6 linked regions of the Sus scrofa genome follow. The protein of the gene in region 5 interacts with the protein of the main gene of each other region in a biochemical or structural test. Links are inferred from orthologs where the notes say so. Each region holds a gene or a part of one and is shown on either strand. Other genes may lie near its edges.

Region 1 (4,810 bases), on a different chromosome or scaffold from region 5:
TCTGGTTTGTTTCCAATTTTTGGTATAACAAACATCACTGCTAGAAACATCCTTATACTTATCTCCTGAAGTCCATGTGCAAAACTTTCTCTAGGGAAAACAACAAGGAGAAGAAGAGCTGGGCATGGGTTGTGCCCATCTACACCTTAACTAGATAATGCCAGATTTTCCAAAGTGGTTGTCCCAAAGTACAGCAGTGTATAAGAGACCCCATTGCTCCACATCCTCACCAACATTGGATGTTGACAGTTTTTGCCAAATGGGTGAGAGTCAAACCTGGAATCTGTGGTTTTCATTTCCCTGCTTACTACCCTTGTGTTACTGGCCATTCATCTTCCTGCTTTTGTGAAGGGCTCTTCTGCCTGTCTATCCCCAGATCATCCCAGGAAGTACACAAGCTCCGTCAGGGTAGGGTACCTCTGTTTGTATGACCCTTCTGTCCTTCGGGCATGAATCTTGAACATAACTGGCGGTGTACGGAGCCAAATATTTCTGCGAATGCAAGGACAACGGAATGCGGATACATTTCACGAATCTCGAAGAGATTTATAGCCAGAGGTCCGATCCTAGGGTATCTGAGCTTTCTTTAAAGCGCACATCACAGCCGCTTCTAACACTACCGGGTCTCAATCAGGACCGGTGCGTCCATCTCCTTGCGGTCTTCCCTCTAGAAAGAAGGCCTGAGTGGGCAGACGGTTGGTGGGGGTGGGGTCGGGGGCGTTTTCTTCTTCCCTTGGAGGCTCGGAGTCGGAGGAAAGCGCCCACCTAGGGGGGAAGGCCACAATGGCAAGACTGCAGCGGCGCCTGTGGAAGCCAGGAGCGCTAGGAGGCCCCAGCCATGGCGCTAGAAGAGACATCGAGGCCCGGGGACAGGTGTGTTGGGGAGTCAGGTGCACTGCGCAGTACTGCAGGTACACCCTCTTCCGCCTACGACTGACCTAATTACAAGGTGCTGGCCGCACCCGGAGGCAGGGGTGGCTACTCCAACCTGGCTACCACTCGGCGCCTGTTCCTGCTCCCAAGATGCAGCAATTCCAGTGCTGTTGTAGAATGGAGGAGCCACGGGGCCCAATTCTCGTTTCCGTGCTTTGGCAGTCGCCAGGTGAGGAGCCGAGGCGTATCACCTCAGGGAAAAAGTCTCCGGCAACAAGGAGCCACCCTCGCACCCCGGCTGCGCCTGCGCCTGGTCCGCAACTACACCCTGCAGGATTTAGTGCTCTAAGATTAGCCCACTTCCCAGCTATAAGCAAGGCCCCTGCTTGGACTCGGTCTTCCCTTCCCCCTCGGCCCCTCCCTTCTACAGGACCGCGCCCTAAAAGCGAAGGTGCCTGTTTCCAGCCGGCTACTTTACGCGCCTGCGCCCTGGCCCCTAGTTCCCGCCCCCGCTCGGGTCTGGCCGCAGATGAGAGCCGGCCCGGCAGTTGCGCAGCTCGTATCCCGGCGCTTCTACCCCTCCTCACCCCGCCACCTCCTGACGCCGGGCGTGACGTCACCACGCCGGCGGCCGCCATTACAGAGCCGAGCTCCAAGGCTAGAGCGAGCGGAGGAGGTCAGTGGCCGGTAGCCGAACACCGAGGGGCGAGTCAACCGGGCAGCGCTACTGCCGAGCAGCCTTCAGCAGCCACACAAGTACCCCGGGGGCCGACGGCAGCGTGTGCGTGTGGCCCGTGTGCGGGCGGCGGCGCGGGAGTAGCGCGGAGCGGCAGCCGGTTCGGGCGGGTGGCATCATGGACGAGAAGGTGTTCACTAAGGAGCTGGACCAGTGGATCGAGCAGCTGAATGAGTGCAAGCAGCTGTCCGAGTCCCAGGTCAAGAGCCTCTGCGAGAAGGTGAGCTGCACTCCGGCTTCGGGAGCCGGGGCGGGCCGAGCCCGCCGAGAAGGAAGCGGCCGCGGGGAGGGTGCAACATGGCGGAGGCCAGCGGCCCCGGCCCCCGAGCCTCCCAGACCGGCCCCCGGCGCGGCCCGGCGGCGGCTCCCGGACGACCCGGCGCCCCCTGCCTCCCGCGCAGGGATTGGTTGTCGCTGCCACCGCCGCCTAAAATGGCGCCGTTCACCCGACTCCGGGGCTTCAGAGCTTCCCGGCCTTGGCTGGAAGCGAAGTGGCTGGGGGAGGGTGCGGGGGAGCGGAGACCCTGCGAGTAAGGGTCAGGGACGGTTTTGATATCTGGGCACGAGGTCTTAGGTTCTACGGCCTGGGAATGGGGCCTGGGACTCTTCTGTGAGTTTGGTGGGAGGTTTCTTACTTGTACTCAGGCCGAATGCTTAGGTCCAGAGCTGTCCAGAGGGTCCCCCAGAGGCAAGCTTGTAGGCCGGATCCCGGGACCTATCTAATAAAGGTCACGCAGATTTAGCATCGTCTTGAGTGGTTTATGGTAAACCTCTCGAGCTGTGTTTTCCAGAGACTTATTAGTACATTTTTTCGAGAATTTTTAAATGAGCTTTTAATCTAAGTTTCAATGAAGGTCATGGTGGTAGTTATAGGGAGGAGTATAACTTATTTTTCATAGTTGGAAGAATTAGACATTTTGGTGAGTCATTCTACATAGGAGCTTTGGGATTGGAAATCAAGTGTCAGTTTAATCTCTGATTTATATGCTGACTCAAATTGGATAGTATGAAACCCTTCTTTAAGCTTAAGGTTCTTGGCATTTTGCCATTTGTTTTTTAAATGAGCAGCATAAACTGTTAAGACCAGCAGATTTTGTATCCTTGCTCTCTGCTGGAAAAGTTGTTAGTATATTTGTGACTTTAAGTAGTAAGTATGATATTAACAGCTGTTGATCGAGCTTTTGCTGTATTCCAGTCATTGTGTTTAGTGTTTAAATCCCACAAACGTTTAAAATGGAATGTTGTAGTCTGTTTTAGAAGTCCATTTTAAATGACCTAATTCTGATTTGTTTTTCCCAAGGAGTTGGGGAAACAGGTAGCCTGTTTAAGTCTTATAATTCAGTTTTCTAAAGTAGAGAAAATGCTGATCTCCACCATGAATGTTTCAACTTCTCTTTTTAAAAATAACTCTGCAGCATCTTTAGTTCCACAGAATGGTGGAGTATCATCAACATTTTGTATTAGTGAAGAGAGTTATTAGAAAGCAATTACGCTGACTCGTTTGTGGTTTGATGTGAAAATTAGATTCGTAAATTTGACATATACGCTCCTAAAACAGGCTTTTTCAGAAACTCTTCTGTGAATTACTGCAATTTAAGTAAGTCTAATTCAGATTTGTTTATCCCAAGCCTCAACAAAACTTCTAGTTGATGAGGTGGCACATCATCTCTTGGAGCTGAATTTTAATACTGGCAATGTAGAGCCTTTTGTTGCTTCTTGATCCTTAATTCTTTTACATCAGATGAAAATGACATTTGTTTAAAGTTTTGGAAGTGGGCTTTTAAAAATTGTTTAATGTATAGTGTTAGGTCTTAGTTTTTGGATACTGTAAGTGATGATTTTAAAGATTTTTAGAGTTGAGTACTTAACTCTATATAAAGACTTTGAGTCAGCAGTTGGCTAGATGACTAGTTATTTGTGTAGCAAACATTGCAACAGAGTAATGATGTGGTTGGAAGACCACTGGACTGTGAGTTAGACCTGGACACTGGTCCTTTTTCTGCCACCAAGTAATTGTGACCTTGAGGCAATCACTTCACTTGGTCCACATTTTCTTGTCTATAGAGTTAAAACATGTTCCAGGGTTCCTTCTAATCATTTGAGATTATACAATTGCATTTTAAAATAGTACTCTGTATTTAAATATTGAACACTTATTGGATATCCAAGATTGCTTACTTTTATGAGAGGAGTGAAAAGCAATGAAAAATAATCATGCTTATTTTTAAGGATCTTGAATCTGGTTGGAAGTCTGTAGTAGATAGACCACAGAAGTAAAGGGTCTGTGTTGGAGACAGCAGAAGATATTGGAATTATGGTGGGGGGACTGAAGCTTGATCCCCTTGGTAAATATTGTTTGCTATGTCTCTGTAATATCAAGATGGAGTGAGATTAATCAGTTTATGTTTAAATCCCCATTGCTCATCCACTGTATAAAGATTTTAATTCTTGGAGCATATATATATATATATATATATCTTTGATGCTAGATTTTCAAGACATGGGTCCTTTTGGAGGTTGTCACATAGCCTTCATACTGTTTTTAATTTGTAAGTATTCCGTCTTTGGGAACTGTATTAACCTTCCAAAATAAATTAACTTGAAGGCAGTTTTTTAGGTATAGTAAGTCTTTCTAGTGAAACAAAAGTTCTCTTTTCACTATTAATATTTGTGTGGCCAATAGCACAACTGGCAAAACCTGTATATTTTGAAAATCTTGAGTGGAAAACCTTTTTTCATTAGTGTAATAATTAGCGTAATTATTTTTCTTTTTAAAGAAAAGATATTTGGTGGAGGTAGATATTTGGAAATAGTTGATAATTTCTTTGATTATAAGAAAGTATATTTATAGACCAGGGTGAATAGGGTTTTTATGTTATTAACTATGTAAGTTTTTTCCCCACAAGATGTGACTAAGGTCTGTATCAAAGCCAAGGTTGTTGTGTGTGCAGTATACCTTGTCATTTTTGGGGATCATAATTTGTTGATTGTTTAAAAATTTGTGATGAGTGAAGCAGTTTTGTCTGTAGGCACAGTTCTGTAGTCAGTGAGGTTAGTGCATCTGTGTATCTAGACTGGTATGTTTCTATCTCCTGATTGGAAGAATAAGTAGTATCCACTTGCTTTTACATTAACTGTATTACAAGTCTTTTGTTAGGATCAGCAGTGGTTTCATTTAGGTATGATTTTTGGCCTTGTGTT
Region 2 (4,723 bases), on a different chromosome or scaffold from region 5:
ATCCCAAGCATAAAAGTGCCCTTACCGTCGGCTGTACAGACATTTTCAAAGTTGCCAGTGTTACTTTGATTGGACTGCCTTCATAATTCATTGCCTCTGCTTCTACAATGTGCAACTCATCCTTTGCGCCAGCCCCTAAACTGACCTGTGAATAGAAAAACAGTACTTCAAACTGTCACTATTTTACAATGCCCCCCCATGAGTTTTTTAAAATACAGAATAATTATTCATCTTCCATTATTACCACTGATGGAAAACTGACGAGCTCAAAGTTGTCTTCAAGTTTTATGTGACCCTAGTCTCATACTCAGTAACTTTGAACAAATACACTAAAATGCATTTGATGACACATACTTATGCCATCACCACTGTTAACTCACAGTATGAATCGCCTAACATTTACCGGCCACCTACAATTTAAGTAGTAGGCTATAGCCTAGTCTCTGGGGAACAAGATGTATATTTGTCACTACCCTAAAGAGTTTTTAATACAACTCAAGAAAAGTAGATGACACAATAAGGAAAGCTGGGGAGTTCCCATTGTGGCTCATTGGATTACCAACCCAATGTGTATCCATCAGGATGCGGGTTTGATCCCCAGCCTCCCTTAGTGGGTTAAGGACCCCATGTTGCCAGGAGCTTCAGTGCAGATTTGCACAGGCAGCTCGGATCCTGTGTTGCTGCAGTGTAGGCCGGCAGCTGCAGCTCCAATTTGACCCTTAGCCTAGGAACTTTCATATGCCATAGGGGCGGCCCTAAAAAGCAAATAGAGAAACAGTAACAGTGAAAATAAGGAAAGCTGAACAGTGTGATTGGACTGTTCAAAATATCAAATGAGTGGTAAAGACGGCAGGTTTTCTATAACACACGTGGAAAACCAAGCATATACAACAACTATAGAAATACTTTTCTAATGTTAAGCCACACAAATTAAGCGGTGTCTGAAATCGAGAGTACTTTGTCTTGAAAAGTTTTACGTACCGTTCTTAAAGATAACTGGTGCTCATTTTCATCATTATCCACCTTAAAGTGGTAATCTTTATCGGCCTTTAGTTCACAACCTGTAAATGAGGAAACAACCCTACTATAACAAGGAGAAAAATAACACTGAATGAAACGTCACTGTGGGTAACCAAAAGTTACTTGATTTTACTATTCTATTCTAGCTACCAAAAAGCAAGGCAGAAGTACCTCTTACAGGCCTTCTTGAACACACAAGTCTATAAACATCAAATAACATCCATATAGAGCAAATAACTTTCATAGTTTTATAAATTCCTCCTTTCCATCATACTATTTTATGCTCAACTACACTCTTCTTAGGTGGAAACAGTATCAAAGATTTAGTAAAAGCTGGAACTTAAACCAAACCTAACATATGTTGATAAAAACCCCACTATTTTAAAAAGTTGAATTACCTACCCCAACTCCCAGGAGGAGTGCCAATTTAGAAATGACAGTGGTTACACAAACACATACATCGACAGCTTGTATTTACAACACAGAAAGACTACAAAGTAGGAGAACTAAAGGTTGTTACACGGGTCCACAATCCATCTCTGAACTAACAAGTGATATATATAAACTCTGTTCAGAAATTATATCTAAGGCAAAACTAGAAATATCCCAGGGATATTTCCGAGGGTAAACACAAACGTTTTTGATATAAACTGATCAGAAACTCCAGCTTTTCAAACCGGCTAAGAATAAAACCCTTAATGTATAGCGCATGTTACCATTACCACTCATGAATAGGCAAACTGATTTTAATAGTCAGAACTAAATTTTAATTTAAATAATACCATTTAATTGCCATCTACTTATTTACTGCAAGAGATGTATAAATGTTCCTGCTCAATTAACATATCTCAGCACGATATATAACAAAATGAACTTGAAGGCATTTGCACTTCTTCAAAACCTAACCGAAAAAAAATGGCTTTAACAATTAAGTTTAGTGAAGTTGAAAAACCAACCCAAGTCTCCTAGGATGGCACTGTGTGATTGAGGTGAGCAACAAAACCTTGGTAATAGAACTACAAGTTTAACAGAAGGCTGCCTCTGCTGCCCACCTCCCAAATCATTTGTAAAGCACCAGCTCTGGAAGCAAGCGTTGTGGGGTTGGAACTATTAAGTGCAACCTTCAGTTTTCCGAGTATCAGTAAGTCATCTGCAAAGAGCGCGGAGAGATAGAAAAAGAACTCTAGAACTACCAGCACTGATGTTAACCACTTAACAAAGACCTCAAGAGTACTGGCGCTACGAACCACTTCACCTAAAATTTCCCGTCCACCATCCTCAATTAAGCCCCAGGACCCCAGGCTCGGAGTGACAAGACACCAGTGAACCCCGGATGTAGCGCCCACACCCCTCCTTCCCCCAACCACGTGGCAACCACGTGCTCCCAGCGGTAGCGGCCTCCCCACGCCGGGCCGCGGCTCCCATCCCCCTGTAACCGGCCGAAGAACCCGGGCCGAGTCTGGGCCCTAGACCTCCTGACCCTTTAGGCCTGTAGGACAACGCCAGGCTCCATTTGTCCTCTCCGTCCAGATAGGAAGCCCACGTCTCACACCCTGATCCCCCACAATCTCTTGCACCACCAACCTGGAGTCCAGCATCAGGCACTAGTCTGGAATCAGAAGCCTACCAACTCACGCAACCCCAGGAAAAAATTATGCCCGGAGCTCTACCACGTGCCCCAGCTAACGCCCAACCCTAAACCGGTGGGTTCCACATTAACTCAGGCCCTGGGCCTCGGACCGCTCACGCTTCAGGCCGCCCTTACTTCCCAGTCACTCCGTGGTGCCGGCTCGCCCTCCCAGGTCCCCATCCTTAAGCTTCAGGACCCCAGCAGCTCGCTTCCCACTCCCGCAGGCCTCCAGCCTGCTTAGCTTTCTCCACCTGCCCAGGCCTCAGTGTGATTTCCACCACCCACTCCAAAGCCACCAGGCCGCGCTCGGCCTTGGCCCAACACGCCAGTACTTACCGAAAAGATAGTTCTGAGGCCTCAGGGGGCTCATGTCCATATCCATCGAATCTTCCATGGGTTGGTGGCACGCACTTGGGTGGGAGAGAAGGCGGACGGAGATAATCCACTAGTGTTGCGGAGAACAGCCGCGCAGGACGGAATCACACCAGGGAAAGGACGCGGGCTCCCTGCGCACATATATAGCACCCTGACGATCTCGCGAGAGCTCTTCAAGTCCCGCCTCCGCGCGCGTGCTCGGAAGCCCCCCTCCCCGCACAGTCTCTCTCCTGCGCAAGCGCTCTTCAACATCACTCCTTGCTACCTCGCCCCCCACCTCCTCCAGGTACTTCGCGGGCTCCCACCGAGCACGCGCATTCGTACCCTGGTCCCACCCACTTCGCCGCCACCGCCTGTGCGCACGCGTACTTCCCCCTCGTAGCGCGCGTTCCCCCACCCTCCAAACCTTCCACGTCCTCTCCCGCTCAGGAGCGCGGGCCTTGCGCCAAGAGCCTGCGCAGCCCACCCTGCAAAATGGCGGCAGCAACTCTTAGCTGGGTTAGGTACGAAGGGCGAGCTGGTTGTAAGTGAACCAGAGAGCAGCTCATTTCTCCTTTCGCCATCTCCTCATGCCTCGCAGGCCTGCAAACAGGCATAACCACTTCCAGTTTTTTGGCTCGCCTGAAGGCCTGAGCCCAGAGTTCATTGTTTCCCCAAAGTTAAAGCTTAAGGTGCCAGAGACAGTGGACTACGGATTGCCACTTGTTGGGGAGAAAAGATGTAGCTGCTGGCCAGACTTAATCGGTTCTGTTTTTAACCCCCTGTCCTTTCTGAGGAAACATCTCCGAATTTAAAATTCTTCGACATTACGTCACTGGGAGGCCAACAGGGGGTTCTAAATCGGTCTCTTTCATATGAGCAGGGCAGGAACCAAGCCTGGGTGATTTCTCCAAAGAGAAAGTTTTAAAAGGGTTGTGTATCCACCGTATGTCCCCACGTAACAGGTAAGAGGCAGATGTGACTATCCCCATTTTGCGGACAGGGAGACGCGCCACGAGGAAGTAAGGTGCCCAGACGGAGTGGTTACAGAAACAGGGTTCTCTAGCTCCAAGTCTAATACTAACACCTGTCTAAAAGCTCGGGGGATTACACGGGGGTCCAGTGTCTGAGGTTGTGCAGTTCTTAATCTTTAACATCACTAAGGTTGTTCTGGCCTGAAAAGAAGGCATTTGACGTTTAAGAAATACACAAACTTAGACTCTGGAAGCGAGCCTGGAAATGAGTATCTTAAAGTACGCTGTCAAACTGAGGACCACCCTTCCCCCAACCGCAGCTCCTCGGGCAGGGGTGCTGAAGATCCCCACAATTATGGTTTTTACACAAATTTAAAAAATTAAAGTACTGTAAAGAATAAAAATAGTGACAGCAATCCCCTACCGCCTTTTCTCCAAACATAGGCTACTTGGGAAGATAAACTGTGATACGCATGAACCAATAATTAACAGAATCAAAATTCAAAATGTGGAGAAATCAATGCTTATTTGTGAATGGACTAAGCTGTTCTCCGCTTTTCCCTGCTCCCAACTGAAAAAAGTCTTTACCAGCTTGGTTCTAGCATCTTTTAAAATGCAGAGTGTGACCAATTACTAGAGAAAAAAACCGAGTCTTGGAAAGTTACTACGGATTGCCACTTGTTGGGGAGAAAAGATGTAGCGGAGAACATCCGTAAAGGAACTGAGAAAGGCTGATAAAAGGGAG
Region 3 (4,620 bases), on a different chromosome or scaffold from region 5:
AACTCAAAGCTGTCTTTCTGAGCCTGAGTGTGAGGTGGCGGGGAAAGCCAGCAGTCGCTGTCCCAAATCCCATCATCCATCCCTACCTGTACCACCGGGAGACCGGAGCATGGAGTTACTGGTCCTCAGCACCAGAGCCTGGTGGAGTCTCTTGGTACTCGAAATAGCCCCCACCTGCTAGAGATTCGGGTGACCCTCGGATCAGCGCCAGAGAAACCCAGGGGCGGCGGCTGGCTCAGAGCTTCAGCGTTGGAGCTTGGGCACAAACGCGGCATCCCTCGAGATCCCAAGGAGAAAGCTGCTTAGTTAAAGCGCGCCCAGAGCCAGGGATGGGATTTCCTGATTGTCGTACGAAGGACCATCTCACGGCCCCCAGGATTCCTCCATTTAACAACCCCCACCCCCGGCCTTGCCGACCCGAGAGCCCCACCAAACCGCCAATACATTTCAAAATTGGGTAAAATAGCGGACGCCTATACTGCGCTTTGTTCCCAGCACTGGGCTAAACGCGCTTGCCATGATGCGCTCCTTCCCAACAACGGATAGGAGATGCTGTCTTCGCCTGCGGTCCATCCCAGGCAGCGGAGGCTGCGGGCTCCCTGTTCCCAGGTCTGCTAGCTCTGTCTAGACCCTAGCTCTGTCTAGAACCAGAATCTCTTGTCTAGCTCTATGGGGCGGGGGGAAGATGCTCGAATTGATCCTTGAACCTCTCTCCAACCTGCCCCTGCCGAGCCCAGCTCTGCAGGAAAGCTCGCTCCGATCCGATCCCAGGAAAGCTCGCTCCGATCCGATCCCGAAGCCAAGGGAAGGTTCGGCCTGGCCCCTGGGGGGCTCTCGACCCCGAGCCAAGTCATTCCCCGCATGTTTAGATCAATCTGCGCGGCTCGAGAGGATGGTGTGTTCCCTTAAATGCTCATGAATCTCAGAACTGCGCCCCCGCACCACTTTCCAGCGATAGAATTAACCAGAAAGCCGCCAGGACCCAGCTAATGGAAAGAGGGTGAGGCTCGGATTTGTTCGCCAGGATCTTACCCGCCTTCCTACTTCCCCCACCTCACTCCGCCTCCGGGTTTCAAGGTGGCGGCGAACTCGGGCTCTCAAATGAAAATCTCTCACGGTTCTAAAATAATATTCGACTATAATAATAAAAATACATGAAAGATGCCTTTCCTGGTGGTTGCGGCCGCAGGAGTCCAATTTGGAAGAGCCACGGGTTAAGGGGTGGGAGGTCCCCCTCCTGTGTTCTCCTGGAGCCAGAGGGGCAGGGCCTATCCCTAGGTTCTCTATCTCTGCTGGGCAGGGGCGGGGCAACGCCCCAAGGTCTGTCCCCAGGGTGCGGGTGGTCTCCATGACAACCTCCCCCTGCGACCCCCTCCCAGGCCTTTTGATAAAAGGGTGTGGCCCGCAGCACCTCATGCCCCCTCCTCACATTCTCCCGCCTGGTGAAGCAACAGGACGTGAAGCGAAGTGGGCAACCCCCACCCCTGCACCCCGCTTCTCCCACCGGGGGTCGCCGGCGCTCCCTGGCGAGGCGTCGCCCCCAGGACGCTCCAAGTATGGGGAGGGGCATCGTCCCTCTGTGGCCACCCGCAACTCGCGTCCATCCCTTCGGCCCTCAGGTGCTTCCTGGCGCGCAGCCCCGCTTTGGGAGAGGGGCTCGCGGGGTCACGCCCGTTCCCTGCGTGCCCTCGGGGCTGACTCGAGTTCCTCGACCCCAGCGAGCGCCAAGATCTAACAAAGGGCTCAGAAATGAGGGGCAAAAAGCGGGAGGAGGGGTGGGGGCCTCGATTAAACACCCTCATAGAATAAGAGCCAAAAACTAGGGCTGGCAAGGCAGATCACGTAAACCCTACAAACAAAGCACCGAGCCCCCAAGGAAAATCCTGGGTGAACTCCCCCAGTGCTCAAGCCCGCAGCAGCAAAATCCAAGATTTCAGCGCTAATTGCCCCCTCCCCGTCAATGACAGTCTTCGCCCTGTCCTCCGAAGCCGAGCCGCTCGGCTTGGCACGGTACTATAAAGACATGACACGCCGCAAAAAGATGGCACCTCGCGTTCGGAGGGGAAAAAAGCAAGGGTGGAAGTGGGAGGAGGCTCGGCCTACCCACCCCCTCCTCGCCCACCCGGGTCCACACCCACTGCCGCAGTGAGGGGCGAGCCCTGCGCGCCAGCCGGGCGCCTCCGGCAGGGAGCGCACACGCCGGTCCGCCAGCGCAGAGCGCAGAGCGCAGAGAAAGGGGCCCGCCCCGAAATGCACCTGCAGCCCCCGCGCGCGTCTGTGCGGGGCTGCGGCTGTGCGCGCCCTCGAGCTGGGATCCGCGGCTGCCGAGCCCTTCCACATCGCAAGGCCAGGTGACCCCTGCCGTTCCGCACCTCCACATTGAGATCCGCGCACTACCTTCTCTCGGGCGCGGCGCTGCTCGAGTCTGGGTGCCAGGCGCGCGCAGGGGGAAGGGCAACTAAAGTGACAGCACCGGGACCCCTCCCCATCTCCCTGATTCCACTCCCAGCCCCCAAATGTCCCCTGCGGGTTTCTGAAGGAGGAAAACGGGGAAGGGGTGGGCCACCGCCTTAAACCTGGGACAGCGAAAGCCCCATTGGAATAGCTGCCGGGGAGGTGTAGGGAGGGGCAGGCAGGGAGTCATCTTTCCTAGAACCCGATCAATACCTTCCTTAGAGCTGATGGCAAACCGAGGCAGAGAAATCAGATTAGAGGTTCGGTTTGGGGGGTCGTCATTGAACACCCCCCACACCCACAAAGTCACACTCCTATTACTGCAAAAGGCTGTATTCGAGAATGCATTGCAGCCCCCTCCCCCAGGTCACCGCCATCCGCGCCCCACCCTGTGGGCAAAACCTCTGTCCGGGTCCGCTCGCAACGGGTCGTGCAGACCCCCTCAGGACACACACACGCACACCCATGCATCCCTTGCACGGGTCCCTTTCCAAGTCGCCCTAATCCCGAGCCCCAACGCAGAAGGGGCAAGGAGGGGCCCCGGCGGTTGCCCCCGACCAAAATTCACCTCAGGAAACCCATCTCTGGGGCGAGGGGCGGCGGCATGGGAGTGCAGGAGGGCAGAGGGGGAGGCAGATTTCGGAGCCTCGCACTTACCTGATAGTCGACAGAGGGCGAGGACACCAGAGGAAAACAGTCAAGTGGCTGTGGTGGCGGCGACAGAAGGTGGGCGGCGGCGACGGCGGCGCTGCTGCTGGTGCCTGAGCTGGTGGGTGGCGGAGACTGCGAGCGCGCGCACCGCCAAGAGGGCGCGCTCCCGAGGCCGGCGGGCGGCGCAGGCGCGAGCGGCGGGAGCGCGAGCCTCCCCAGGGGAGGGGCGGGGCCCTGAGGCCTCCGCAGGCGTATTCTCCTCCGGCCACCAGTGGGCGCGCGTGAGCGCCCTACCAATCGACCCTTCCCCGCCTCCCGGCTCTCTCCTCTCGGCACTTCCCTTCCCGGGTCTCCCTTCCTCCCATGCCTTGTGCTGCGGAGCTGACAGCCACGCGCACGCGCGCTTCTTGGCGCAAGCGCACATTGGGTCTCCTCTCACGGCTGGAGTCTTTGTTTTGTCTTAGGGGTCTCCTCCCTAGGAAGCGAGGCTTGGTTGCCCTCTGGGTTAAAGGAGACGCTGGGTGCTCCGCCGCCTCCAGATCCGCAGCCCCTTTTTTTGCTCCGGAGTGATGTCCTGTCTCAGAAAGGTCCTGGGCAGTTTTTCACGTGGCCGGCTCTCCAGACAGTACACGCAGGTCCTCAAAAACTTCCCCCAGGCTTGCCCACTGGCACCCTGACCCTCTCCTGAATTTCCCCTTGTTGGAGATCAGTTTCCTCGTGTCTGTTTCCCTTCAACCTGCTTTTGTTCCACCTTTTTTGTTATTGATCAAGGTGAATTCTTTCCTTAGTAAATCTACTTAAACCTGGCTAACCTGATTATAATTAGGCAGTGCACATTTGGGTGTTTTTTGGGGGGGGGAGTGTTTTAACAAGGAGCATTCAAATCTAACTGTAACCCAAGAATAAAATCTTAAATTAGATCAAGTTTCAAATGGCACTTACCACATTACAGAGCATTTTCACATATACAGTTATTTTTATCTTCTTTGTGAAACATCCTTATTACTGTAAATAGAGCTTGAGATTTGAATTTCCAGGTGCTGGCGGGAGATTCTCACCTGGATAACATGCCTCAGACTGAAAGTGGCCAGAGGCTTTCATTCTCTCAGTCAGCCAGCATCTAGGCTTTGTCCTTAACTTGTTCTGCCCAACATCTAATTTAAACCCTGGCAGTGGGAGTTTAAGTTTAGAAGGGCTTAGGGACAGCCATCTTGTCATAGGAGGGTGGGAATTTGTCTTAAAGCTTTAATTTACATAGCTGTTATATTCTTCTTCTTTTTTTTTTTTAGGTCCGCACACTTGGCATATGGAAGTTCCCAGGCTAGGGGTTGAGTGGGAGCTATAGCTGCTGGCCTACACCACAGCTTGCAGCAATGCTGGATCCTTACTCCACTGAGCAAGGCCAGGGATCAAACCCAAATCCTCATAGGATACTAGTCTGGTTCTTAACCTGCTGAGCCACAATGGGAACTCCCTGCATAGCTCTGATATTCTTTTTTTTTTTTAAAGCAATAT
Region 4 (4,570 bases), on a different chromosome or scaffold from region 5:
TCAGTTAAGCTAGAATTAATGTGTGAATTAACTGAAAAGGATTTGAGCAAGTAACTCCAAGCTTTGTAGAAAATGTAGATGGCAGAATAAGTTCTTCAAGATTTAATAGGGGAAAAGAGGGAAGGAAACAACCTGAACCTGCCCCTAAGGCTAGTGCTGAAAAGAGTCCAAACTTGGTATATGACAGATTTAAAGAACAACAACAACAACAGCAACAAAACAACAACAACAATGTGAAGATATCCACCACTGGCTGGAGCCACCTACCTGTCACAAAGCTTTAAAAATACAGTAGGACTGGAATGTGACACCAGAAATCACGACTTGTGCATAATTAATCACCTTACTTTGCCACCTACACTGCAGAGGACAGACTGGCAGCCTCGGAAGGCAGTGTACGTAAATACAGCTTCCATACGCAAATTCTCCTAATGATTTCCGCTTCGTAGGATCATTATCATAGATAGCCCTTCCTCCTTCTAGAAAAGGAAGCCAGAAAGCGTCCTGCGCTCAGAGCTCCTCAGCGATCAGCACAGGTTCCAATAAGCACTCACTTCACCGAGTTTACAACAACGCCTCCTGCGTTGCTCCGAGTTGCACGATCCCACACTAAACCTGTCGTTGAATGCGCGCGTGGGTGATTTTGGTTTTGTTTTTTACAAAGCTTTTCCTTATCTTAAGAGACCCAACTCACACTACAGACGTCACTTGGCGACGGCAAACTTATGTGCGTTTTCACTTTCTTCAGAAATGCTTTCTATCTTGCTGACATTCCGTGGGGCGCAGGGGACCGTGGTGGCTTTCCCTCCGCTGCGCAGACCTGGCCTCGGTGGCTGTGGTTTTAGGGATGCTCAAAGCCCCGAGGTGTAGAAGGCTTCCTCGGGAGACACCTTAGGGAGAGAGTCCGGCCTCGCCGTTGGGATTAACAGGGGATTAAGATGCACATTGAGGTTCCTGGGGTCTCCCCCTCCCCCACCCTGTCCGCGACCCCCTCCTCTACCCCCACCCGCTTCTCTCCCCCCAGCCCTCCCCTTCCCCTGCGCTCCCCTCCGGCCCGGCGCTTACTGTACTCTATTTACCACCCCAGCTGGGCTCGCGCCGCGGGGATTGGCTGCGAACGCGGAAGGACCGAGCGCTCGCCCCGCGCCCGCGCCGGCCAATGGGGGTGCCCGCCCGGCCTGATGGACGCGCCGCCCTCCACCAATGGGGACGCAAGGCAGCCGGATCGTGTGGCCCCGGCGAGCGCTGATAAAAGCCGCCCGGCCGGGCTCCCTGCTTCGTTCTGAGCCGAGCCTGGTGCCGAGCGTAGGAAGCTCTGCAGGCGGCGGCGGCGGCGGCAGCGGCGGCGTCCTGAGCTCCGGGGCAGCCCGCTCCCTCCTCCCGGTCTCTTCTTTCCTGCGGTCAGCATGAAAGCCTTCAGTCCAGTGAGGTCCGTTAGGAAAAACAGCCTTTCGGACCACAGCCTGGGCATCTCCCGGAGCAAAACCCCGGTGGACGACCCGATGAGCCTGCTGTACAACATGAACGACTGCTACTCCAAGCTCAAGGAGCTGGTGCCCAGCATCCCTCAGAACAAGAAGGTGAGCAAGATGGAAATCCTGCAGCACGTCATCGACTACATCTTGGACCTGCAGATCGCCCTGGACTCGCACCCCACTATTGTCAGCCTGCACCACCAGCGACCCGGGCAGAGCCAGGCATCCAGGACGCCGCTGACCACCCTAAATACGGACATCAGCATCCTGTCCTTGCAGGTAAGACCTGCTCCTGGTGCCCCGCTCGCGGCCGCGCAGCCGGGCGATGCCTGGGCTGCCACTGGCCGACCCATTGTCGAGACCGCCGGCCGCAGTCGGTGACTCACAAATGAGCTAATTAACTTCATTGTTATTAGTTTTAGTTTTTTTTGTTTTTTTTTTTTGTTTTTTTTTACAAATCTGCTGTAGATTGAGTTATGCGGGAAATTGCTGATAGGTTAGTTCTGAGAGGTTAACGCATCAATCTTTGAGTCTGCAATTAGCGTAAACGTCTTTACTGGAACTTGCTGTTCTATGGGCTACTTGGAAAAAGAAAAAAAAAAGCTCTTTCTCCTGAAGTTGTCTAACGTCGAGCCTTTTATCCCCGTTCTCTCGTAGGCTTCTGAATTCCCTTCTGAGTTAATGTCAAGTGACAGCAAAGCGCTCTGTGGCTGAATAAATGGTGAGTGTTTGCTTGTGCCACCGGTCGGTGAACCGGCACTCGGGGTGTGTGCGCGCGCGCGCGCGTGTACTTGCGAATCTGTAAAATGTTGGGTTTGGTAGATGAATGTGTACTTGGTTGTATAACACGTAGTACATTGTTTACGTGTACTAGATGTGAAGAGGCATCTGGCTCCTGTTACTCAAATTCACGGAAGATTTTCCTTAAAAAAAAAAAAAAAAATGCCAGTAACTATGGAAGGTGGCAGAGGAAACTGTGTAACTGTGTCCCGGTTTTATGTGCCAGTATCATGCCTGGGCTGTTTTCTGCTCATGCTCTGGTACTACGAGGTACTAACCCCCGTGTAATTAATCTTATCACCGCAAATTCCATCGGGATCCTCCCTCCCTAAAACTCCAGCCCTCTGGGACCAGGCTAGCCAAGCATTGCTGCCCTGTGCCTCAGCCCCTGTGATGTGGGATTCCGACTTCCCAATCTGTTAACTAAAGGGCTGTTTTCAATCAAATAATTGTTACAAGAAGCAGACTGGCGCCTATGAGCCCTGCCGCTGGAGATCCAAATAGGAGATTGCATTGGGAAGTTTTTCGCCTGAGTCTCTGCTATTTTAATGTTTAATTTGCGCTGTCGAGGCCGAGTGTGTGTCTTGCATCTGTGGACGCCAGGGTTTGCCCAATGTTTGAGTGTTTGGTTAAATGTTCAAACTGCGGCTTCCTCCTGGCGCCAGTCTGCCCGCCTCTGCCCTTAGGTTAAAATCTCCTAAACAGTCCTTTCTCTCTCGATCTTTTGCAGGTGTTCATGACTCTTCCCCCCCCCACACCCACCCCCTTTGCACAACAACAGCAACAAATCCACAGGCTCTTTTAAGGCGCTGAACTTATTTTTCAACCATTTCCCAAGGAGGACAAGTCAAATGGACCTTTAAAAAAAAAAAAATGGAAGGAAAACTAAGAACGGTCGACTTGCCCAGTGTTCTCTGACCTGGACTGTGTACTAGTTATTTATGAAAAAGACTTTTAAATGCCCTTTCTGCAGTTGGAAGGTTTTCTTTATATACTATTCCCACCATGGGGAGCGAAAAACGTTAAAATCACAAGGAATTGCCCAATTTAAGCAGACTTTGCCTTTTTTCAAAGGTGGAGCGTGAATACCAGAAGGATCCAGTATTCAGTTACTTACATGAAGTCTTTCGGTCAGAAATTACCTTTTTGACGCAAGCCTACTGAATGCTGTGTATATATTTATATATAAATATATATATATATTGAGTGAAACCTCGTGAACTCTTTCCTTAGAGTTTCCTTGTACAGCGGCAGAGATGTCAATTTCTGCATCAAAGTGTAATGATGTACTTATTCATGCTAAACTTTTTATAAAAGTTTAGTTGTAAACTTAACCCTTTTATACAAAATAAATCAAGTGTGTTTATTGAATGGTGATTGCCTGCTTTATTTCAGAGGACCAGTGCTTTGATTTTTATCATGCTATGTTATAACTGAACCCAAATAAATACAAGTTCAAATTTATGTAGACTGTATAAGATTATAATAAAAACATGTCTGAAATCAACACCTGAATTCCGAATGATTTTTAAGATGTTCTCCTTCTCTGTCTCGCCATTTTATTTAACCCCTCACCCCTTTCGCTCTCCCCCCCCCCCCCAAGTCTTGGAACCTGTGTGCAGAGAAGCCCCTTATCAGATGTGTGGTCAGAAGGAGCACTTTGGGGCAAAGGGCTGCTGCTGCTTTTTGGGAGAGCTGATGGGCTGGAAAGTCTCTAAACCCAGAAGTTTCTCTCAGTCCCGCCTGTGTTTTGAGTGTTGAGTTGCCAACCAAGGAGTTGCTGTGGCGGTGGCTCCTGGGAGTGGGATCATTCAAATTACATGTGGGCTCTGGAAGGGCTACCTGGCTGCAGAGATGTTAAAACGCTTCTGGAGTAAAGGAAACTGCTGTTAACCAGAAGAGGAAGAGCTCCAGGGAATTCGGAACATGATTTTAAGATTTAGAGGCAGGGCAGAAAGCCCTCAGTGTTAGGGTCTGCTGCTGGTGACTGTTTGCCCTGGGACTTCAGGTGTCATCGGGCCCTGAGCTCACAGCCCTGGCTTCCCCTGTGTTTGCTCCACCTGCAGCACACCCAGCCTCGGGAGAAGGGCTGGGACCCCGCCGGCTTTCCAAGACGGGTGCCTGTGCAATCGCCCTTCGCCCTTGACTGTGCCGCTGGCCGGCCCAGGGAAGGACACTGGGAGTCACGGGGACAGTATCAGCGCGCTCTTTGCACTGCAGCCCTCCCGTGGTGATACTGGGACCCTGCCTTAAAATATCCGGTTAATATAGATGCGTGTTTAAAAGCCACATGTCTAGGTACATTTATATTAGAC
Region 5 (4,560 bases):
CCTTGGAACCCCAAATTTTCTGAATCCTCAATTTACAACTTTCTTGGAAGACTTGAGGCAAGCAGTCATAATTTTAATGGTGTACCATCCAGCTCTCCTAGCTTAGTATCTATCAAAATATGAAGTCTGTGCATACTCTAAGACCTCTTGGGGCATCAGAGATAACTTTCCATCTAGTGATAGAGAAACTGCTAGCCAGATATTTTTAGTAACTTTGTGAATGTCCCTGTTAACACCTCACCTCCCAAGAAATTCAGAGAAGACATGCAGAGAGGAGCTCACCTCATGGGTGTATGTACGAACAGGGACTCCAAAGGCTCTGGCCAGTCCAAAGTCTGCTAACTTGATAGATCCTTCTGCGTTGATAAGCAGATTCTGAGGTTTAAGGTCTCGGTGCAAGACCCGATGAGAATGGCAAAAAGCTAGCCCCTGAAGCAGCTGGAACAGATAACTCTGACAAGGGGAGAGAAGGGACTGTGTTTTTACACCAAAGTGAGCAAATTAGGGTCTGCTCTGTGCCTCCAGAGTTTCTACTAAAGCCTTTATTATGTTAGATTGTAATTAAACATTTACATGCTTTCTCCCATTGGACTATCAGCCCAGTGAGGATAAGGATCAGGTCTTATTCAGTTTTTTGTTTTGTTTTGTTGCTTTTTAGGGCTGCACCCTCGGCATATGGAGGTTCTCAGGCTGGGGGTCAAATCGGAGCTGTAGCTCCCAGCCTATGCCATAGGCACAGTAACACAGGATCCAAGCCACATCTGTGACTTACACCATAGCTCACGACAACGCCAGATCCTTAACCCACTGAACGAGGCCAGGGATTGAACCTGCATCCTCATGGATGCTAGTCAGATTCATTAACTGCTGAGCCATGACGGGAACTCCCTGTCTTATTCAGTTTTGCATCTCTTTTCCATATTCTGTGTCTAGCACATTGAGGGTCTTCAATAAATGTGTTGGATAAATGTTTATTGATAGATTAAAAGTAGCTCCAGGAGTAAAGAACCCAGCAAAACAGACAATAGAGACTCACTGGCTATTTCTCCCACCAATTTTTTTTTTTTTTTAAAGAATTTACCAAGTGCTCTCCAGTCCCATTTATCTGAGTTTTGTTGTTTTTTGTTTTTTGTTTTGTCTTTTTGCCTTTTCTAGGGCCGCTCCCAAGGCATATGGAGGTTCCCAGGCTAGGGGTCTAATCAGAGCTGTAGCCATGGGCCTATGCCAGAGCCACAGCAACATGGGATCCAAACCTCGTCTGCGGCCTACACCACAGCTCACAGCAATGCCGGATCCTTAACCCACTGAGCAAGGTCAGGGATCGAACCCGAAACCTCATGGTTCCTAGTTGGATTCGTTAACCACTGAGCCACGGTGGGAACTCCACCTTTTATCTGAGTTTCATCTCACCTTCCACCTGAGCTGCTAAATTGACTCACAAGAGTTTCAACTTTGATTCTTCTGCCCAGCCCTAGGGTTAATAAGCATAATGAGCGGTGAAAGAGCCATACACACACACACACACACACCACACACACACACACACACAAAAGGTATGTGTGATTGTGTTTGCATGATAGGGGGATGACGGCTGGGAATGAAGCCAAGATCACAAATCATCACTCAGTCTTAATTATCTGTCTTAAGTGCCCCCAAGACATGCCCATGTTGGGGAGGAACTGATGAGAAGGATTACCTTTATGAGGGGAAGAGGAATGCCAGTGAGAGCAGAGGCATCCATGAATTTCTTGAGATCCTGGTGCAGAAACTCAAAAACCAGGTAGAGTTTGTTTTCTGTGTGAATGACATCCAGCAACCTAGGGAAGGGGGGATGTCCAGGAACAGAGGTGAGGGAGAGAAATGTCCAGATAACACAAACAGAACACATCTTCCTTTACTGTCAGAGCACCTCCCGGATGCATACTTACTTGACAATATTAGGGTGGTTAAGCTCCTTAAGCAGAGAGATCTCTCGAATGGCAGTACTGGGTACACCCTCCGTCTCACTTGGAGAAGTTGGGAAAGCAGATGGGAATGTGGTTACAAATATTCCTTTTTCCCCAGCCCAGTCATGACCCCACCAGAGACACCACCCCAGCATCCTCTAGGGAAATGAGAGAAAAGGGGTGTCAGGGATTAATTCATGGGTGGACAGGAAGGGCTTTTGGACACATTAAGGTCATTATTTCTTCTTTTCCCAGGGGTAGATTAGCAAAGCCTCTTGGTGAAAGTGAAGAAGGTTAACTGGGGGAAAAAAGGTGGGGGTGGGGGGAGTAGCAGCACCCAGCCTCCGAGAGGGGCCAGTGAGTTTCAACTGCCATTCTTTTGAAAGGGGGAGAGAATTCTAAGATGAGGGTGGGGTTGAGACAGCGAGGAAAGTTCGTATTCAAAAAGTTGCTCTTTACCGCTTTCTACAAAACCCAACTCCACGGGGAGTCCTGGACCCCAAATCAGAGGCCTCCTTCCTCTTCCCGAGTCTTTCTGACTGTACATTTTCGGGCATCACCCGCCTTTGGAAAGGAAATTTCCCATGGACTCTACACTACCCTATATTCTCCACAAGGAAACCCTGTACTGTCCTTCAACCTACCTCTCCACTTCAAAAGAAGTCCCTCCCTACTACCTTCCGGTCCCTGGATGGCTACCCGCCTGTTGGGGTGGGGGTGGGGGGCACTCAAGGAGCTCCGGAGTTAGAGGAGTCCCAGGTACAGAGGCCACTCACGTGTCCAGGCGGATTTTTTTAAGCGCCACCACTTCTCCCGTCACCTTGTTTTTGGCTTTGTACACAACTCCGTACGTGCCCTCTCCGATCTTTTCCACTTTTTGGAAGTTCTCCATGAAGCGCTAGCGAGTCGAATCAGCCCGGCCCTGGAGCGGGGGCCTGGGAACCCAGCAGAAAGCGGCACCCAGCTCTCGGGGGCCGAGGAGGGGGAAACAGGGCCCTGCACGGCAGCCCCAGGTCGGGATGGAACGCAGCGTATCTCTCGCTCTTGTCAATTTGTCCAACTTGAAACAATGTTGCCGCCTCCCCCCGCCAGTTCCCTACCGCCACCAGAAGCCCCGCCCCTCCTTCCCGCGTTTCCCTGGCTCCGCCCCCAGATCTTCCTATTGGTTAACGTCAGAGTGGGAAGGGCCCGTCCTGCGCTCCGCCACGCCCCAAACGACCCTTCCCAGCGCAAGTTTCTGAGGTGTATTAAGTCAAGTTTTAACCTAGGTGGGAAGGTGAAATATCGTGTTCCTAGTATTTGATTTGGGCTCGAGTTTTCTACCTGTACCTTGAGTCTGTAGGGATTTCCTAATATCTAAACCGGGTTTTCACCACCCTTAGGAAAATGTGCACTGATCTAAGATTAAATTCCACCTAGCCCAGGGAACCTTCTCTGAAAAGCAGGAAGCTGGGAAGCTCCTTGCAAGGGTTTCCTGGACCTCGGAGGAGTCATTGCCTCTGTCAGCCTATCCTACACAATCTCTGTTTTTGGATGCAGGGTTGCTGTTTCTACAGTCTTTTTGACAGGTTTCTGGTTTGACTCACAATAGATTGATCCACTCTCCCATGATGGATTGTGTGTGTAGGGTACGTGTTATGCTATGTTGCTGCCCTTCAGTCAATTCTTTGGGCGGGGGAGTGTTGAGAGTGACCCTGTGAAGCCAGAAACTGTCACTGCGTAGCAAGATGTCCAGGGACCAGGATCCCTCCCCAGTTCTGCCTTTCTCAGGTCCTCCTCCTCCTCCCAGGCCTCCTCTGGAGGGAAAGGGGGAAGGGCTATGCAAATGAGCACCCCTTTCTTATATAGGGGCTTGTCCTTTGCCCCAGTGCCTTTGGTTGCTGGAAGGAAGAATACCATGGATCTGGTGCTCAGAAAATGCCTTCTCCATGTGGCTGTGATGGGTGCCTTTCTGGCTGTGGGGGCCACAGAAGGTGAGTATGGGGAGTGTAGACATGAGCAAGTGTGAATTTGGGGTTGCACACCTGCTCTGCTTTTCCCCTCCCTAATGGGAAATACCAGCAATGCCTCAGACTTCTCCCTCCCATTTGATTTAGTGAGGACATGGGCACATGAACTCTCTCTCCACATGGAGATTTGGGACTGAGCCTAAAAATAATCCCATCTGCTTGGAAGGGCAAGAGAAGAGTGGGTCTTTGTGGCCCTAATTCTGAGACCCGTGGACAGTGAGCTGGAGCAGGGGATCCAAGGGGATAAAATGAGAGGGAGACTCTTTTAGGCAATGTCTCAGGCACTTGAGATAGAGTATTTCCAACGAGGAACAAGAGAATGTGGTATTGAATAGAGGGTAAAGAGGTACCACATTTCCTCTTTGGGATGGGCATGGGCAAACACAGGCTTTTGTTCTGGGGCTGGAAGTCAGGCAGAGGGGTCTCAGCTGAGCATCACATGAAAGGGCTCTGGGGGATTGTGGCCTCGTGACAGGAGCGAGGGGTGGGGGTGGGAGTGGTGAGAGGGTCTGGAATGTCCCGTGCTGCTCTGAGGAAGGGAGGGTTGGAAGTGGACAAAGAATGGGGCATCTTATGATTCTCTTGCTCTAGTTGTGGGATGCTCA
Region 6 (4,771 bases), on a different chromosome or scaffold from region 5:
CTTGATAGTCACAGACTGTTTGGCAATTTCAACATCAACTTCAAATATCTCGCCATCGGAACTCTGCAACTTAATTGAAGGCATCTAAAAAAAGGTATTATATTGAATTTGAAATTTAAGAGATATTACTTCTACACTGCATTTCACCATTAAATGTCTAAGCCTTCTAACTTATTAACTACAAAATCTTAACGACCTGTAGTATAGTATAAAACACTGTAAATGATTATAAGGCAATTTTATACAAGTATTTCTATAAAATTTTTTCAAAAGTATATATAACTCCTAGGAACAGAAACTTTTAAGGCCTACCCTTCTGCACTCATTACTGGTATAAATTTTAAAACTCACACTTATATTTCTAATGCAAAATATATCTAAAATGCTTTTTTACTCTTTGCCTGCCTTTCTCCTTTCACCTGAGGGAGGTCAGTCCAAAATAAACAAAGCTACCAAATAAGATATTAATTTTCCCACAGTGAAACTTATCAGTAAAAAGTGAGTTCAGATCTAAAGAGTAGATTAGAATATACTTACTTATGTTTGGATGAAAGCAAGGCCATAGAGAAGAGAATGAAATATCTAAGGATAAGCAGATGTTGACCTAATGCCCTAAACCTATAGTTTCAGAGTCCTGTTTATCTTTCTTTACTGACTGTCTAGGCGTCCCAAGTTTGAGATCGAATGCCAAAATCCTCATAGTAATAACAGCCTTTTACTTGCCGCCAAAATGAATTTATTAACTCACACTGATTATGAGTCATTAGGAAAAAGACACTTCTTACATAAAAGTTAATTAAGCATTTAACTTCAAAGGACTTGAGTTTTGGCAAAAACAAAACAAAACCTCTTTAGAATTAAAAGTTCTAAGCTTCTAAGCCAGCAATTTCTTACCGTCTTCAGATTCTTGGGGGAGAGGCATGGGGGGTGGGCGGCAGCAACACCTGACTGTAAAAACTCAAGATCTCTTTAAGTTTCTGTAACAGGTTTTTAAAAGGCCCGTGCATCTGAGATGTTCGTAATAATACTCTGATATCACTCTAACTTAAAAATACAGAATTTGGCATTCAAAACACTGACTGCACCTATTTTAGGCCCCAACACTTAGGACCCGTTAAATCGGTTACAATATTCAGCTTTTCCCACACAACTGTCTCCATTCCCCAAAGAGACAAAGGTGTTAGGGCAAGGAAGCAAAAAGGTAAAGCTGTTTTAAAACCAGCCATTGAAATATCCAGCTCACACTCATCCATGGTTGCAGAGAATCAGATTTCACTTTTCAGTTCACAAATGTCTGCTTCTCCATATTACTCAGTGCCTGCCAATAATGCAGTTGTCCTGCTCCATGAAGAAACGCCCAGAGCAGAGGACCTTCCTTGCGACAAGGCAAAAGCAAAAGATATCCCCCTAAAGAAATACTTTAACATGAGCTCAATTTTAAATTACAAAACATTCTATGCTCTATGACTGTTCCACAACACTGGAGTGAACGTTATAAAATCACAAGTCTGGAAATGCAGTTGATAAAATTACTTTTAAGCAAGACGAACATTTCATATTTCAAATAACTTTTGATAAACAGCCATATCTGCTTAGTCACAGTCAAATTCGTGTATTAGGTTACTCTTAACTGAGATCTTACTAAATAAATAGCAGGGAAACAATCGGTTAATCTGTAATTCGATGCACTTTGTAAGCTAAACTTAATACTCAAAAAAAAATTTTTTTTAGCGTTATACAGCTGGAAATCAGAGCAAAACTTTTCTATAATTATCCATGAAACTTTGATGTGGTATGTTCTCCAGACCATTCCTTCAATTCCGTATGCGCCGGCACTTTTGAGTTAAATCACCCTCCAGGAGGAGGGGTCTATCAAACATCATAAAAGAAAAAAAACCTGTTTAAGTGACCCGAAGTTCTGACACTTCTTCTTATAGGGCAAAGTGAAATCTGCGTTGCTCTATGACACACAAACATTCTGCTGTGACGCTCTCATGAAAACATTCATGAGCCCAAACTCCAACCTTTAGTCTCCATTAAAAAGCAAACCAAAGCAGGTGAACATCCTATCCCTTCGAAAACCTCTTAGTAAGTTTACGGAGTTGGTGCACCTAAAAGCCAAACCACTGTGGCGATGGCACCTGCTACTCCAACAATTGCTTCAACAACCGCGGGCTGTGGCAAAATAATGGGCGACAAATATTCCGAAGGAGCAGGCAGCTCTCTGCCGAAATTCGGCTCCGGCGCAGTTAACCAGGACGAGTGACGCCAGACACAGGGGCGAGAAAGACTGAGAGCCAAGAATCCAGCTGCGGGACGACCCTACCACGCTTCCTCTGGGACACCCGAACAACAAACGGACAAACGCCCATGCTCACGACGACCCAGAGAAGTCCATTAAAAGCCCCGCCACCACCCTCGCCCTGGCTTCCCGGGGCCGATGGGCTCAACCGCCGAGGGAGGCCCCGGCCGCAGCCTGGGCCTGCAGCCTTGCTCCGCGACGGCTGAGGGTCGCCCCGCGCAGAGAAGGCCCAATCCCGGTTCCGCTCACACCTTCTCCCTCCCGCCCGCCTGGGCGCGGTGAAGACTAGCGGCTAAAAGAGGCCTCGGCAAGTCGAGGGGCGGTGTGGGAGGTGAATGGCACCTCCGGGAGAATGGGGTCGACGACGGCTTTCACCGGGCCTGAGGGAAGGCCAGGCCCAGGTGCCTGCCGTTTCGAGCAAGGCCAAAGCCGCAGCGGGGCGGCCCGCGGCTCGCAATCTGCGGCGCCACCGCCCCCTTTCAGCTCAGGCGGCGGGTACTCACGGTGTTTGGGCTCAAGGAGATGGCGGGCCGGAGGCTGACGAGAGAAGGGCGGTGTCCGCAACCGGAGAGACAGAAAAGCGACGCACAAGGCGACTTCAACCGAGTGGCGCGGCGTCGCCTTTATAGCAGCGGGCGCAGGCGCCGAGGACCCCGGGGCCCGTGACGTCACAGAGACGGCAGGGCTGGCCGCCGAGATCGCCTGACGGCAGGCGCAGACCGGCGGGGCGAGGCGCGGCGGGCCTTGAGTCTCACCCCTTCCCTCGAAAGCGGCGCTCACTCCCCTCAAAGCGGAAACGGGGGACTGGCTCAGATACTCCACGGCCTGCAAGGGTCTTTCAGGCGGGAGCTGGCCTAAGTCGAATTAAAGACCCCAGTCCCGAAAAGCCTAGAAACCTGGAGCGAGGGGCCGGGAGGGAGAGCGCGGGGAGTAGCGGGGAGAGAGGGGCGGAGTGGGGAGGGAGAGGCGTCTGTGTTAGGGGTGGTGTTTGGGAGGGGCTGCAGCTCCTTTTCATGATGGGGAAACTGGGACTCTGAGAAAGAAAGGGCGCTGATCTTTGCAGCCAGCGCTGTGAGATTTTGCTCAGGGCCTCAGTGTCCTCCCCTGAACCCTACATGAGTTAGCTCACTCTCCACAATAATGCATAAGAAGAAATATCAGGAGTTCCCCTCGTGGCTCAGTGGTTAACGAATCCGACTAGAAACCATGAGGTTTCGGGTTCGATCCCTGGCCTCGCTCAGTGGGTTAAGGATTTGGAGTGGCCATGAGCTGTGGTGTAGGTCACAGTCGCGACTCGGATCCCACGTTGTGGCTCTGGTGTAGGCCGGTGGCTACAGCTCCGATTCGACCCCTAGCCAGGGAACCTCCGTATGCCTTGGGTGCGGCCCTAGAAAGACAAAAAGACAAAAAAAAAAAAAGAAGAAGAAATACCATTACCCTTTTCTCTTTGACTTGTGAGGGAACAGGTTCAAAACGGTTCAGTGGCAGAGCAAGGATTGTTTGATACTCTCAACTCTGATTTCCTATCGACTTCTGAAGAGGCCTCCAATCCAAAGTAACCACTGTTTCAGGGAAACCCCAAGTTAGCAAAAGTGTATTGGGTGGGGGGAGGGCGAGGTGATGGGTGCTAGGAATTCGGCAGCGAACGAGGCAGCCAGAGTCCAGCCTGCAGAGAGCCCTTGTGTGGGATGCTCCCTAAAGGCTGTGTTAGGGTCCCTAAGATGAAACCAACCCTCAAGGGAAAGGGGTTAGTCTGCAAATTCCCACTCCCACCCTCTCCAGTCAGGGACTTTGACCTGCTCTACCCTGCTCTGTTTAGAGAACAATGCCACCCCTCTGGAGGAGACTAAGGCGCCAGGCTCACCTAACCAGCAGGCACGTGATGGTATTCCTGACGCCAAGGAGACAAAGGACACTTCCACACAGGGCCCCCTAAAGAAATCAGAAGCCTGCAGCTCTTCTGAGATGGGACTGGGCAGGGAGACCAAGCAGCTCCTTGGGTTACCAGGTCTTTGTCTCCAAGCTGTGGTATCCAGTGTCTGCCAGGTGCCACAGCTGATGTCGGGAAGATGAAAGGACCTACAGCTCTCAGACTTTTTCTCCACAAGCCTGCCCTGCCCTAAGCAGCTCCAGCTTCTGGTCTCTTAGTTAAGGCCCACTAGATCCCCTTTGCTCCCCTGCCTGTGGCATATAAGGGCCACCTTGTAGCCTAGTTGAGCATCCTAAGCAGGACTGGGCAGTGCCAGATTACACGTCTAGCTGGAGGATCTGGCACAGGGCCTGGCATTAGGAAGGTGTATGTTTTTTCCAAAATGTCTGGGGGCCCCTAATATTAGAATCACCGAGATATTCTTGGGTGGCTTTTTTTGGCTGCTTTTTCTTTTAATGGCTACACCTGCAGCATATGGAAGTTCCCAGGCTAGGGGTTGAATATGAGATACAGCTGAGGCCTTCGGCACAGCCACAGAA

What was found.
Region 1: of the proteins of CDK2 (region 5) and PPP2CA, one has a biochemical effect on the other in vitro, tested with the Homo sapiens proteins (2 studies listed by BioGRID). The link is inferred for Sus scrofa from reciprocal best matches to the Homo sapiens genes CDK2 and PPP2CA.
Region 2: of the proteins of CDK2 (region 5) and NPM1, one has a biochemical effect on the other in vitro, tested with the Homo sapiens proteins (2 studies listed by BioGRID). The link is inferred for Sus scrofa from reciprocal best matches to the Homo sapiens genes CDK2 and NPM1.
Region 3: of the proteins of CDK2 (region 5) and MAPT, one has a biochemical effect on the other in vitro, tested with the Homo sapiens proteins (2 studies listed by BioGRID). The link is inferred for Sus scrofa from reciprocal best matches to the Homo sapiens genes CDK2 and MAPT.
Region 4: of the proteins of CDK2 (region 5) and ID2, one has a biochemical effect on the other in vitro, tested with the Homo sapiens proteins (2 studies listed by BioGRID). The link is inferred for Sus scrofa from reciprocal best matches to the Homo sapiens genes CDK2 and ID2.
Region 6: the proteins of CDK2 (region 5) and SKP1 are reported together in a solved structure, tested with the Homo sapiens proteins (2 studies listed by BioGRID, with this or other methods). The link is inferred for Sus scrofa from reciprocal best matches to the Homo sapiens genes CDK2 and SKP1.

Annotation. Positions count from the first base shown.
Region 1 is NC_010444.4:136,519,370-136,524,179, reverse strand, and holds the start of PPP2CA (serine/threonine-protein phosphatase 2A catalytic subunit alpha isoform), read left to right. Parts: upstream 1-1,549; 5' UTR 1,550-1,727; coding exon 1,728-1,829; intron 1,830-4,810. UniProt on the Homo sapiens protein: Catalytic subunit of protein phosphatase 2A (PP2A), a serine/threonine phosphatase involved in the regulation of a wide variety of enzymes, signal transduction pathways, and cellular events.
Region 2 is NC_010458.4:52,778,602-52,783,324, forward strand, and holds the start of NPM1 (nucleophosmin), read right to left. Parts: upstream 3,262-4,723; 5' UTR 3,045-3,261; coding exon 2,987-3,044; intron 1,062-2,986; coding exon 982-1,061; intron 146-981; coding exon 26-145; intron 1-25. UniProt on the Homo sapiens protein: Involved in diverse cellular processes such as ribosome biogenesis, centrosome duplication, protein chaperoning, histone assembly, cell proliferation, and regulation of tumor suppressors p53/TP53 and ARF.
Region 3 is NC_010454.4:17,208,130-17,212,749, forward strand, and holds the start of MAPT (microtubule-associated protein tau), read right to left. Parts: upstream 3,262-4,620; 5' UTR 3,112-3,261; intron 1-3,111. UniProt on the Homo sapiens protein: Promotes microtubule assembly and stability, and might be involved in the establishment and maintenance of neuronal polarity.
Region 4 is NC_010445.4:127,499,947-127,504,516, reverse strand, and holds ID2 (DNA-binding protein inhibitor ID-2), read left to right. Parts: upstream 1-1,309; 5' UTR 1,310-1,406; coding exon 1,407-1,754; intron 1,755-2,132; coding exon 2,133-2,189; 3' UTR 2,190-2,196; intron 2,197-2,985; 3' UTR 2,986-3,758; downstream 3,759-4,570. UniProt on the Homo sapiens protein: Transcriptional regulator (lacking a basic DNA binding domain) which negatively regulates the basic helix-loop-helix (bHLH) transcription factors by forming heterodimers and inhibiting their DNA binding and transcriptional activity.
Region 5 is NC_010447.5:21,364,246-21,368,805, reverse strand, and holds the start of CDK2 (cyclin-dependent kinase 2), read right to left. Parts: upstream 2,977-4,560; 5' UTR 2,839-2,976; coding exon 2,723-2,838; intron 2,007-2,722; coding exon 1,929-2,006; intron 1,818-1,928; coding exon 1,697-1,817; intron 454-1,696; coding exon 283-453; intron 1-282. Other genes in the region: melanocyte protein PMEL, read left to right, coding at 3,766-3,919. UniProt on the Homo sapiens protein: Serine/threonine-protein kinase involved in the control of the cell cycle; essential for meiosis, but dispensable for mitosis. Phosphorylates CABLES1, CTNNB1, CDK2AP2, ERCC6, NBN, USP37, p53/TP53, NPM1, CDK7, RB1, BRCA2, MYC, NPAT, EZH2.
Region 6 is NC_010444.4:136,473,104-136,477,874, forward strand, and holds the start of SKP1 (S-phase kinase-associated protein 1), read right to left. Parts: upstream 3,262-4,771; 5' UTR 2,806-3,261; intron 85-2,805; coding exon 1-84. UniProt on the Homo sapiens protein: Essential component of the SCF (SKP1-CUL1-F-box protein) ubiquitin ligase complex, which mediates the ubiquitination of proteins involved in cell cycle progression, signal transduction and transcription.